Coturnix japonica: one gene and its partners. The protein of the gene in region 2 purifies or fractionates together with the protein of the main gene of each other region. This does not show direct contact. Links are inferred from orthologs where the notes say so. Each region holds a gene or a part of one and is shown on either strand. Other genes may lie near its edges. The genes, in order: TMEM9, CLCN4 and TMEM9B.

Region 1 (4,389 bases), on a different chromosome or scaffold from region 2:
TGTGCTCCAGGAACCTACCCTGTCAGGCTGTGCCTGGGATGGCACAGTGCCACAGGGAGCTGACACACAGTTACCTTGATGGTGGTGGTGCTGCGCTCCTCATACTTGCACTCACACAGCAGACAATACGCCTCCACATCATTCCCAGGCACTGGCATGGGCTCCACAACATGCAGGCAGTTGCTGCAATGCAAAGAAACCAAAATCAGTGACAGGACAAAGAGAAACCAGTGCTCTGTGGAAGGATGCTGTGGTGATTTAACCCAGCTTTCCTATTGGGCTGATAATGCTGACTGGAGTTGCCACCACAGCAAGCCTGGAACAGACTGAGGCACCTTTTGCAGGGATAAAGTCCAGGTGAAGGGGACTGAAGGGCATAACACCCCTCACCTGGGCTGAGCAACCCCTATAGAAACAGCTTGCTCTGCACATTCACAGGCAGCAAACCACTCCCAGAGTGCTGACTTCCACAGATCAACCCCTCAGGCTTCAACAGGCAACTCACCAGTCCTTCTGTGATACATTCTTGTTGTAAATGTGCCCGCTGATGTTCCGGTATGGGGGACAAATGCATTTGCAGCGGATGTCCTCTGAGCTCTGCAGAAGCACAAGGAGACAGCATTAGTGAGTTAAAACACACGGGTACAGCTCTGCTGCCCTCACACATAAGGCTGTGGCAGCAGAACATTCCCAAAGAGAGAGATGACTTCACATCACATCTCTTATTTCTCTTATTTCTTCTCTCCAGAGATCAGGTTCTCCTCAGATGTATTGCAAAGCACAGACTTGAGGCCTCCATCACATACATTCACAGCCCTTCATGTTACAGATACACATGTGTGCACTGACCTGCTGCAGCTCTTTTTCCTTTTTCATATTTCTGTTGAAAAACAGTTGCTTCTCTGCCATTTCTGTGCCCGTTGTACCACACTCAGTGTGTCTGAAGTTGTTCACTCACCTTGCCAGCCTGTGCTGGAGGAGAAAGGACGCAGCTCAGCAGTGCAATCAGCAGCATGGAGCTTGCACACTTCCAGGTGCATTGGACAAACATTGTGGAAGCCTGAGGAAACAGAAATTCCCATAAAGGAACCTTCTTAATTAAATAACTTAACGTTATTTCCCCCAAGAAATGGAAGTTTCTCCCTGTATCGAGGTGCCAACCTGAAACTCTTGGAAACCCAACTCACAGACCCCAAAATGTCCCCATCCAAAGAGCTTGGGGCATGGAGACATTCACCCCAACTAAACACTGTTCACTGAGCCCTGAAGCCACACATCACTCCTGGTGCCACACTCAGCATCACAGTGCTCTGAAGTAGGTGTTGTGATGCTGATTTTGCTACAGAAGTGTGGATGAAGTCACTGCAGAGAGCTGTTTTTGCACAAATCCAAAGCAACGGGAGCTCTCTTTGCACACTGAAGCTCTGCCAGATGTGAGCTCTTTGCACACTGAAGCTCTGACAGATGCAAGCTCTCTTTGCACACTGAAGCTGACAGATGTGAGCTCTTTGCACACCAAGGCTCTGACAGATGCGAGCTCTTTGCACACTGAAGCTCTGACAAATATGAACTCTACACACTGGTGCTCTGACAGATGTGAGCTCTTTGCACACTGAAGCTGGCAGATGTGAGCTTTCTTAGCACACCAGTGCTCTGACAGACGAGCTCTCTTTACACACCAAGACTCTGGCAGATGTGAGCTCTCTTTGCACACGGAGGCTGACAGATGTGAGCTCTTTGCACACCAAGGCTGTCAGACATGAGCTCTTTGCACATTGAAGCTCTGACAGACATGAGCTCTCTTTGCACACCTGTGCTCTGACAGATGTGAGCTCTTTACACACTCAGGCTCTGTCAGATGTGAGCTCTTTGCACACTGAAGCTCTGACAGACATGAGCTCTCTGCAAACTGAGGCTCTGGCAGATGTGATCTCTTTGCACACCAGTGCTCTGACAGATGCAAGCTCTCTTTGCACACTGAGGCTGACAGATGTGAGCTCTCTGCACAGCAAAGCTCTGACAGACTTGAGTTCTTTGCACACTGAAGCTCTGACAAATATGAGCTGTCTTTACACACTGGTGCTCTGACAGATGTGATCTCTTTGCACACTGAGGCTCTGTCAGATGTGAGCTCTCTTTGCACACTGAGGCTGGCAGATGTGAGCTCTTTGCACACCAAGGCTCTGTCAGATGTGAGCTTTCTTAGCACACACAGGCTCTGACAGATGTGAGCTCTCTTTGCACACTGAGGCTGTCAGACATGAGCTCTTTGCACACTGAAGCTCTGACAAATATGAGCTCTCTACACACTGGTGCTCTGACAGATGTGATCTCTTTGCACACTGAGGCTGACAGATGTGAGCTCTCTGCACAACAGGGCTCTGTCAGACTCGAGCTCTTTGCACACTGAAGCTCTGTCAGACTTGAGCTCTCTTTACACACTCAGGCTCCAACAGACCCCCGTTACCACACCTCGATCCCACACCTCGCCCCAGCTCCTCCGGTTCTCACAGCCATTTACACCCCCTTAAATCCACACCTCTCCCCTCTTCACCTTATTCCAACGCTCCACAGCAGCCGGGCCGACATCCCGTCAGGTTTACACAGAGATTACGAGCATCACATCCGATCCACCCCCCACCCCCAACGCTCCGCTCCTTACAGCACAGCCCCAGGCCGTCTTCCCGGTATTCCTCCTCTCCGTTCATCCAGGCTGCAGCCCGCCCATCTATGAGGCCCAGCGTCCCGCTGAAGGAGCCGTGTAACACCGCCCCCCCCCCCCTCCGCCCAGGCCGCCCCCCGCCGCCGCTCTGGGCCTTACCTGCCGCTTGACGCCGGCGCCCCTGCAAGCCCCACCCCAGCCCTGCGCCCATTGGTTGCAGCGTGACGGGCAGAGCGCTCGGCCAATCGGAAAGCAGAGAGGCCTACCGTGCTCTAATAAGATGGGCCGCGCCTGTGCTGCACCTCAGTGTGAGGTGGGGGGTCGTGGGGTTCGGTGTTTAGATATGACGTGTAGCTGTGGGTCTGCGTGCCCGCTTTCTGTATTGAGGGTAAAGCGCTGTCACAGCACTGCAGTAACGGATTGGGTTGGGCTGCTTTACCGTTATAAGTCACATTTAGCACTCTCTGGTTCTGTGTTAGAAGCCTCAGGCCTACGGCTGCGCTGAGGGCAACGCTGTGCTTCCCACAGCTGCGGCCTTGTCTTCAGAGGGAGCGTTCAGTGGGCCTGGCTTTGCGGCCTGCTGCTGGGGGAGATGGGGCCCCCTGGGCTGAGTGGATCTCTGGGTCCCTCTGGGGCTGTGTGGGTCTCTGGGGTTTGCTGTTTGAAAATGGAAATCAGGAGGCTGTGGTGAGATACATTCAACTGGAAGCATGTGTAAATCAGGGGATGCCCCTCTGGTGTGATGTGGTACGCAGCTGAGAGGAGATTTGCTGCTATGAGCAAGCTGAGACTGTTTGAAGGTTTGTACAGTTGTGGAGGTTGTCAGTTCTGCAGTGCACCCAGGTGTGGGAATTCCTGATGTAAGAGTGTTTTCTCCCCCAGCTCTGCCATGCATAAGGTGCTGGCCCAGCACGCTGTGTTCCCCACACACTCAGCTGGAGTCCATTAGAGGGTCACGGCCTGCTCCAGCTGGATTGACCCAAGGAAATGTTCCAGATGAATCATCCTGGCAATCAGGTGCACAAGGGACTTCTAATTCCTTCCTCCTACTCCAGTGCTGCCAAGCGGAAGCACTGCTGTGCTGCAACTTGCTGCTCTTACTTCTGAGCACGACCTCAGCCCTGGCTGTGGGATGCTACCAATGTTGTGAAATTGCTGAGTTTTTATCATGACCACAGGGCTCTTATGTTGCCAACTTGCCCAGCACAACTGGTAAGGAGGTATTTTTATCTGCTCTGACGTTTTTATTGTCACAGTAATCTATCCTTCTTTGTTTTTTTTCTGCAGTATAACTATATATACCAGTGCTTCTTGTGGGACTGGAATAAGCTGGATGTGTGCTTACAGGACACAGCTTCACCTAGTGACAAGATGCTGAGCAGTCCTCCTGGAGTGAGTAAATAAATGACCCAAGCAGCTCCAACGCTGGATGCAGGTTTCAGTCTTTCAGGTGAGTACCTCAGAGACAAGTCTGCCAAATACCTGATGAGCTTGGAAGTTTCCAGTCCCTCTTTCTGAAGGTTGTTTTCGTGTGTGTGCATTGACTTGTGTTCTGTGGTGTAGGGGAGGATGCTTTCTTTGTAGCAATGGGGGGGGGACCACACAGCACATCCAGGAGATCATTTTCTGCTCCTTTCCTTGCTGGGTTTTTCCTTAGTGTCTGTCCCATGTAGCTCAGACAGTGGGCTTAGTTATCTTCTGAGTTCCAGCCTTGTTGTGCTTTAATG
Region 2 (3,621 bases):
GCAAATGCAGAACTGAGTTTGAAACTGTATTTTCCCTTCGTGCATATATAATAAGATATCCAAGTGGACATAATGATTTACAAAGCTCCCACTTGACTGTACACGCCGAACATTTTCCTTCGCGACATGACAACATCTACTTGGAGAGTGCAGCTAAGTGAAGACAAGGGAAAAAAAAAAAAGATCTACAATAAAACTGGCTGTGTGAACTGAAGACTCAGAAGGCGAAAGCAGTCAATTGAGTGTAAAGTACTTAAAAACATATTTTCAAGGAAACTCCCTCTACAGATTAATAGTTTTTTTTCTAAGTCAGCACTCAACGGGACTGCTTTTATTAAGTATTATAACTGCATAGATACATAACTGCTTTTTTAGATTGAAAAATCAGCAAATACAGAACAAAGTAAAGAGAGAAACAAATGGTACTGCAGAAAATTTGAGTGAGGTGGTTCCAGGAAAAAGTAATGTAGCACACACATACCTGCCAGTAGTCCTATGAGAAGCATTACAACCCATCCTGACCAGGCATCCAGCAAACTCTTGATGAATTCCCATATGGATTCCTTACTTTTGCTTGTAATCTGAAACGATATGTACATAGAGTTGTGTTTTTGATCCAGGCTAACACAATTTTAGTGCATCAGGCTAAATGAATCTACTCAAAAGTAGGCTAAAAAATTCTTCTACTCTCTGCTTCCTCCAGTCCCAACCACATTGTAGAGGCGCTCTGCTATAGCCATTACCTTCCTATGGCGGTCAGTGTCACGTGATTTCTCCCGCAGCCAGTCAATAGTGTGGAAATCTTCATAAGTCCCGACATCAGGAAAAGGCTCATCCAGAAAATCCATCAGGTTGCCAGAACCGTTCATTTCTCCTGCATTAACCATATTAGGGTCTGTATATAGAAGGGAAAACAAGTTTTTCAGTAAATTCATGCAGTTTTGCCAGACATGTTGGAATCAAGTCTTCCAAAACCCCTCCACAAACCACAAACTCTAGAAAACATGGCTCAGCAGTTCTAGTGGGCACTTACTGAAGTCTATGCATTACCATTAGGAAAAGTACACTGCTGAAGGCCACTTCAAGAGCTTGGCAAGCTCTTAAAAGCCAACACAAAAAAAGCAGAGTGCCCAAGTGTAGAAATACAGCTTTTATTATTTTTTTTTTTTTTTTTGGCCAATAGTTCCCCAAAACCCAGGATGGTTCTGGGCTTCTTCTGCAAAGTTAAATGCTGATCACATGTTGGAAGGTGCCCTACCTGTGGTGAGGCTACTGAGAAGACAAAGTTACTAACTCAGAAGACAAATGATAATACACTAAAATTTACCATTTATCATTCATCTGGGTTTTCAGACTATGGAAATGAAAGCAGAGAACCATCCATGCCCGTTGTCCTGAAGCCTCAGAAACTATACCTACTTCATGAGGTACAACAAGACCAAGTGTCAAGGTTACGCCTTGAGTACTGTGTTGGGTTTTGGGCCCCTCACTACAGGAAAGACATTGACGCCCTGGAGTATGTCCAGAGGAGGGCAACAAAGCTGTGAAGGACCTGTGACACAAAGACTTAGGAGAAGCAGAGGAGAGAACTGGGATTGATTGTTCAGTCTGGAGAAGAGGAGGCTCAGCAGAGATCTTATCACTCTACAATGACCTGAAAGTAGGTTATAGCAAGGTGGGGATTGGCCTCTTCTCCCAGGTAATAAGTAATCTCCAGTTACTAATACAACAGGTTACAGAAAAGGCTGACATCATTCCCAACATAAGGAACCTTTAGTAGCAAGAGAGTCTTTTAAGTAAGTATTTTAGGCATACAGGATTCAAGCAACTTAATTTCATCCATCCGAAAGTTTGGTATCTAGACCATAAGAACTACCTAGGCTGCCTCTGGAGACAGAGAAGCTGGTTTAGAAAGCTGGAATGAAGAGAAAAATCAGACAGTGCTATGATTTTGTAGCACACAGGTCATTTCCTTCAACCTACTCTTCCCATACAAGTAGTACCTGTAAGGAACATGCAGTCCAGACGGCTTGCTTGAGCCTAGGCAATACTGCTGATTTATAAAAAATGTCTGGAAACTACTGTGTTGAAAGAGTTGGCAAGTTCTCCTTAATGCTACAAGAAAGTTACCCAATATGCTAGTTATATCCCATAAAAAATAGCTTCTTAAGTATGCTGTCAATGCCCGGCACATGACAGTTTTGTGATGGATAATAGCAGGCCAGACCACAAGTATGTGGGTAATTACAATCTTAGCCTGAATCTATCCCAGACATACGTGTTGTACGGCATGCCCCGGGACACAAGGAAGTGCTAGAGACTGCAGGGCCAAGGAAGACTCAGAAAACAAACTTCAAACTCTAGATAGTTTCAGTATCTAGGAACTGCAGCTAGATGGATTATTATCATCCTGAAACTCCATGCCAGCTGCTGTGCTTTTGAATGCAGAGATGTGATGTCAGATTAGACAAAAACCAGTTCTGGCTCCAACAATTTTAATTGGGCTGTATAGAGATTCCATGTTTCTTATGTGCTGGCACTAAGCACCATTTAAGTACCACTGTCTTTCTCTTTATTGGCAATTCTTTATCTCACCTTTCTGAAACAGTCTCCAAAGCTTCTATTGGTGGGTTAACTTCTCCTCTCAAGGTTCTTGCAGAGAACTTCCCAGTCCTGCCAGCAAAACTACAACCTTACACTAACAATTTAGTTATGGATACTTTAATTTAATACACAAATGTTAAGGGCAAATGAATGTCATCCAAACACAGACTGTAGCCAGGTGCACAGTAGCAATCCACTCTTAGGACAGCAAAAGTACAAATACAGTGTGTGTTGTCCCATCTAGCATCACAAATCTGCACTAAGCTCTGGACACTAGAATCTAAACTCCTTTTGTAGCTGATGAGAGAGAAATGCTATTCAAAGGCAACTTATCTCACATATTAGAGACATTTGCATTATTATGAGATGATAAATTGTTCCCTATAAGCAACAGTTTCTGGCCACAGATCACAGAGACATCAGAAGTAGCCATTCCCGCCTCATTAATTCAAAAGAAAACACTGCAATATCACTGCACACAGAATTAGCAATAAATGCAACTCTTAGCCACTCCTAAGACTCAAATATCTAAGAAATTTGGATACTCAGCAATCCTGTACACACTGGAAAGTGTTGAATATTGTTTTGCTGCTGAGTGACTCTTGGGTGCGCGTGTTGTCCCTTTGTAGTTCCATGTCTCAGATGTCATTGCTGTCCTTTCAACTACGTTTTCAGGTGCTGATGAAACAATTTGTGCAGCAGCAAATGTTTCCTGCTTCATCCCCTATTCTTTCCTAACAACTCCTGGCATTCATTTTGCTTAGGGCATGCATCCAACATTTTCCATGAGCAATCTGCTGTAACTCTAATATGTACTCCATGAGAAAGAGAAGCCCATCATTCTGTGGGATCTTAGGGTCATTACCCCCATCATTTTGCCTTTATTGACCTTGAGTCACATTTCCCATTTCATTCCCTGCAATTCAGCATGGAAAGAAGGTTCTTTCCATGAATAGCTTAATCTACAACTGGATGTTTTAATCAATATTCTGCTTTAGCAAATGTAAACTGATTCTT
Region 3 (4,083 bases), on a different chromosome or scaffold from region 2:
GAGGGAAGTCACTTGCCCCTCACCCCCCACTCACTTCTCCTTCAGCCCTGCTACACAGCCCTGAAACCCACCTCCACCATCTTAAGTAACAAGAGGCAGAACACAGCAGCCACACAATCACCACCATCTTATGTACCTCGGGGCACCATGCCGAGCAGCTTCTGCTAGCTTAACTAAATGCACAACACAGCAAGCCCTGCCATTTCTGCCACCTCAAGTAGAGGGCACCAACTCCTGCCAAGTCCACTACTTAAGTAGCAAGGGTCACCAATCCTTATGTAAAAAGAGGAACCAACCCCTGCTACTTCCGCCATCTTAAACAACTATAGGGACAACACAGCAAACCCTGCCACTTCTGCTCTTATGCAACATAGGAGCCAAACATCCTTGCTACCTCCGCCATTTTAGGTAGCAGGGCATGTGTACCCCTGTGACTTCTGCCATCTTAGAGGCAAAAAAACCCAGCAACCCAGCCATCTCCACCACCTTAAGTAACAAGTGGCATGATGCAGGAACCCCTGCTAGGACCAGCATAGGAGTATGGAGGAGAAAAGCATGGAAAGCTGAAATACAGCTACCAGAAGAGCTGTTCTGTTATCACACCCCATGACAGCCCTGACCTCCAGGTGCATGGTACTGTGCCAGACACGTCTCCCCATGGGACAGGCATGGGGCAGGCACGGGATGGATCCAGGCTGGCTCACTCGCCCTGGGACACCATGTTGTTGTTGCTGTTTTTTATTTAATAAAGCAAAACGAAACCCCAAGCATTGCCATGTGTCCAGCTGCATTACCGTGTGATGAGGATATTCTACATGTTGTTGTTGCTGTTCTTTATTTAATAAAGCAAAACGAAACCCCAAGCATTGCTGTGTGTCCAGCTGCATTACCGTGCGATGAGGATATTCTACAGTGCATATGAAAGCAGGGGGCGGCCGTGGGCAGACCTTGAGCAGACACAGACATTATATTTACACTCCCAAGCACTTGGAGAGGGTTTATTCATGGTTTCAAATGAGACCCAGCTTCTATTTCATACTTATTTTTGTTTGTTACTAACTCGTTAAACCGCGTATGCTTCTTAACGCCGGCTGTATTTCCTCTTAACAAAACCACGGTTAAAACAAACACCGTTTATTTAACGCGATATTAGTCCCTCTCCGCCCGGAACCTCGTGGCGCTGTCGCAGTTCCCCGCGGACCTCAATGAGGAGCGGACATCACCGGAAGAGAACGGGAGGAAGGTGGAAGTGATGGCGGCGGCACGGTAGTGTTGTTAATTAGGCGGTGTTGTGTTGTTAGGCGGTGCTTTAGCAGGAGAAGCCCCGGACCGACATGGCGGCCGGCCTCGGGGGCTGGCTGTGCCTCTGCGGGCTGCTGGCTGTTCTGGCGGGGCTGGGCGCACAGGCTAAGGTGAGTAGTGCTGTTTGTGTATTTATCCCGGTAATTGCTTTGAGCTCTTGAGATGAAGGTGGTTTGTTGTCAGTTCTTGGGGTCTGACATACTGTGTGTGTGCGCTCCGTGTCCCGGCTCAGCGTGTTGTTTGCTTTGCAGAATTCCGAGGACGTCCGATGTAAATGCATTTGCCCTCCTTACAAAGACCACTCGGGCCACATCTACAATAAGAACGTCTCGCAGAAGGACTGGTGAGTTTATCGTGGGGAGTTACAAACAGCGTGACTGTCTGTCAGCGTTCTGTGGCGATGACAAAAACATCTCTGCTACATCTCATTGCGCCTTCGCTTCTAAAAGCATTTCAGAATTGAAGAGATGAGGGTTTTCACCCTTAATGTTTCTCCATCTTCTATTTTGGATTGCTTTGTTTGCCTGTTTTTAGTTCCTGTTGCATAAGGCTTGGAGGTAGTAGAAGGAAAGGGGTGTTGTAATTTGAATTCAGTGACCACAAGTGGTATCATGGTGAAGTAGTGTATCTGTTAATCTAGGATAGGGATTGTTTTCTCCTACTTCTCTGCTCTCAAAACCAGTCCTGTTGTTCAGAGATTGTTTTGGAGGTTTGTTCCTCAAAAATCACAGTCAGAGAATGCAGTATAGTTAGCAGCACATTCTCTCTCCTGTGTATAGAGAAACCTGTGTCTCAGCCACGTACTGTGTTGTTTTGCTTGGACCTACCCATGGCATCTGTCAGATTTAAACTGAGCTGAGGACCAGTGTATGTGGGCAGGGATGAGCAGCTGGGGAAGAAAGGAAGATAGCACTGATTTAAAGCAGCATGCTTTGGAGTTGCTGTGATATCCAAAGTGCTCAGGAATTTGTGGATCAACCTATAAAAATGTGAAATATGTTTTGATATGTCGACTCTTTTCCTTATATACCAAGAATTATTAGTAGGCTTTTTGGTCTGTTGAATAGCAGCTGGCTAGCAGCTTGATTGTGAATAATCCATACCCCTTAGTAATCCCACCAAAACAATTAGAGGAATGAAGTTAGTGATACAGATGTGTATTAAGAGCTGTGCCTTGACTTACTGACTTACTTACAGAAGAGCTGTGAGAAACAACACCATAAATTTCAATCTGTGTTAATGAACATAAAATGTAGTGTCTAATCTAAATTACTGTTTTGTCCCATGTGGTTAGCTTAATGTGATTAGGCCTGCTGTGACAAATTAGTCATAGTCAATGCAGTAGTAAGACATACTGAGAGAACTGCAGCTGCAGCTGGCATTTCAGAGTGACTCTGTTAATGGCTTAGTTGCCTATTACTCCTCTGCCTATTAAGTGTGGTTTTTTCAGTGGACATTGCTTAGCATGTGCCCTACTGCCAGAAAAGGCCTTGTTTCACTTTAAATCGTATTGGTAGTGATTTAAGGAAAAATTAACTTTGTAGTCTTGGCTCGTTTCATGGTGACAGGTAAATGGTGCTTACAGGATCTCAGAAACCTATTTTCTGGTCCTAAATCTTATTTTGTTGGGGTTGTTTCTTGTGAGACCACTTGGGAATGTTTTGGTCTTCTTGTTTGAGTTGCCTTCTTGCTACTTTAAAAAGGCTTCACTGCTTGGTCATGTGCAACAAAGTAGACCATTTTAGTGTCACACTTGGGCTTCTGCATCTGTGCCAGTGACCTGTTATTGTATAGAACAGGGTGATGTGCTCTGCCCTTCGGGCATTTACATCTGTCGCTCTGAGGCAAGAGTCAGATCAGTGAGTTACGTTCAGTATGATCACTTACTGCCTCCTTATCTGGACTCCAAATCTTTAATATTGAGCTTAATCTTTAATATTGAACTTGTAGCCTGCATTATGATACTCTTATTTAGGTACTTCTGTTCTTTTGTTGGAGAGGTCCTTCTTTTTCATCCTCACAGACTGCTAAACAATGCCTTTTGATAACATCAGTGTGAGCTGACAGTGCTCCAACACCAATAAATGTGTTTTCCATTTGAGAGTTTGGAGCTACTGCTGACACTTCAGTCCTGACAAACAACACACTAGGCAAGCATTGTGCTGTGTAAGACTAAGCACCTACATGACATTCAGTTAAATAACCCACTTTGAGAGAAATGCATTTATATTTCATGTCTAGAGGCTGATTGCTTTAATAGTCAAGGACATAGTGGGAGGGAAGGTGCCCTGTCTGCTTTGGTGGATAAACTGAAAGCTGACCTGAAACTGTGCTTTTGGCTTGCCTTGATTTGCTAGGAAGAATAGCTTCATTGGTGCTGTTATTGTTGAGTGGGAACACCCTTTAGGAAAGGGTCAACCTTTTCCATGTATTCCTCTTAAACTGCCATGGAATCACAGTCCAAGGAAACATATAATCCAAACTGAGAGCTTTTACCCTCCATAGCAATGTGAAACTGAACTAGAGAAAAAAAAACCTTGCTGATATTATTTGATATATTCACAGTAACAGATATTCTGCTGTACCCAAGCAGCGTACTGGCTTTCTTCTCTACTTGAGCAGCATATTGACGTAACCTTTACAGAAATTTCTTCGTTCATAACTTGTATGTATTTCTGATTTTGCATTTTAAATGCAGCACTATTTTGCAGAGGAGTTTGTACTTCTCATGTCAAATAAATGGAAAAAAATGATCCCTCCATGCCTCTTTAGAGATTGAGA

The links.
Region 1: the proteins of CLCN4 (region 2) and TMEM9 purify together in Homo sapiens (co-immunoprecipitation; 3 studies listed by BioGRID and IntAct, with this or other methods). This does not show direct contact. The link is inferred for Coturnix japonica from reciprocal best matches to the Homo sapiens genes CLCN4 and TMEM9.
Region 3: the proteins of CLCN4 (region 2) and TMEM9B purify together in Homo sapiens (co-immunoprecipitation; 3 studies listed by BioGRID and IntAct, with this or other methods). This does not show direct contact. The link is inferred for Coturnix japonica from reciprocal best matches to the Homo sapiens genes CLCN4 and TMEM9B.

Annotation. Positions count from the first base shown.
Region 1 is NC_029541.1:1,279,973-1,284,361, reverse strand, and holds the start of TMEM9 (transmembrane protein 9), read right to left. Parts: upstream 2,898-4,389; 5' UTR 2,822-2,897; intron 2,793-2,821; exon of another isoform or gene 2,555-2,792; intron 1,061-2,554; 5' UTR 1,052-1,060; coding exon 959-1,051; intron 598-958; coding exon 506-597; intron 184-505; coding exon 75-183; intron 1-74. UniProt on the Homo sapiens protein: Transmembrane protein that binds to and facilitates the assembly of lysosomal proton-transporting V-type ATPase (v-ATPase), resulting in enhanced lysosomal acidification and trafficking.
Region 2 is NC_029516.1:112,469,221-112,472,841, forward strand, and holds part of CLCN4 (H(+)/Cl(-) exchange transporter 4), read right to left. Parts: intron 2,674-3,621; exon of another isoform or gene 2,596-2,673; intron 896-2,595; coding exon 744-895; intron 582-743; coding exon 482-581; intron 1-481. UniProt on the Homo sapiens protein: Strongly outwardly rectifying, electrogenic H(+)/Cl(-)exchanger which mediates the exchange of chloride ions against protons.
Region 3 is NC_029520.1:13,761,835-13,765,917, forward strand, and holds the start of TMEM9B (transmembrane protein 9B), read left to right. Parts: upstream 1-1,209; 5' UTR 1,210-1,334; coding exon 1,335-1,412; intron 1,413-1,553; coding exon 1,554-1,645; intron 1,646-4,083. UniProt on the Homo sapiens protein: Enhances production of pro-inflammatory cytokines induced by TNF, IL1B, and TLR ligands. Has a role in TNF activation of both the NF-kappaB and MAPK pathways.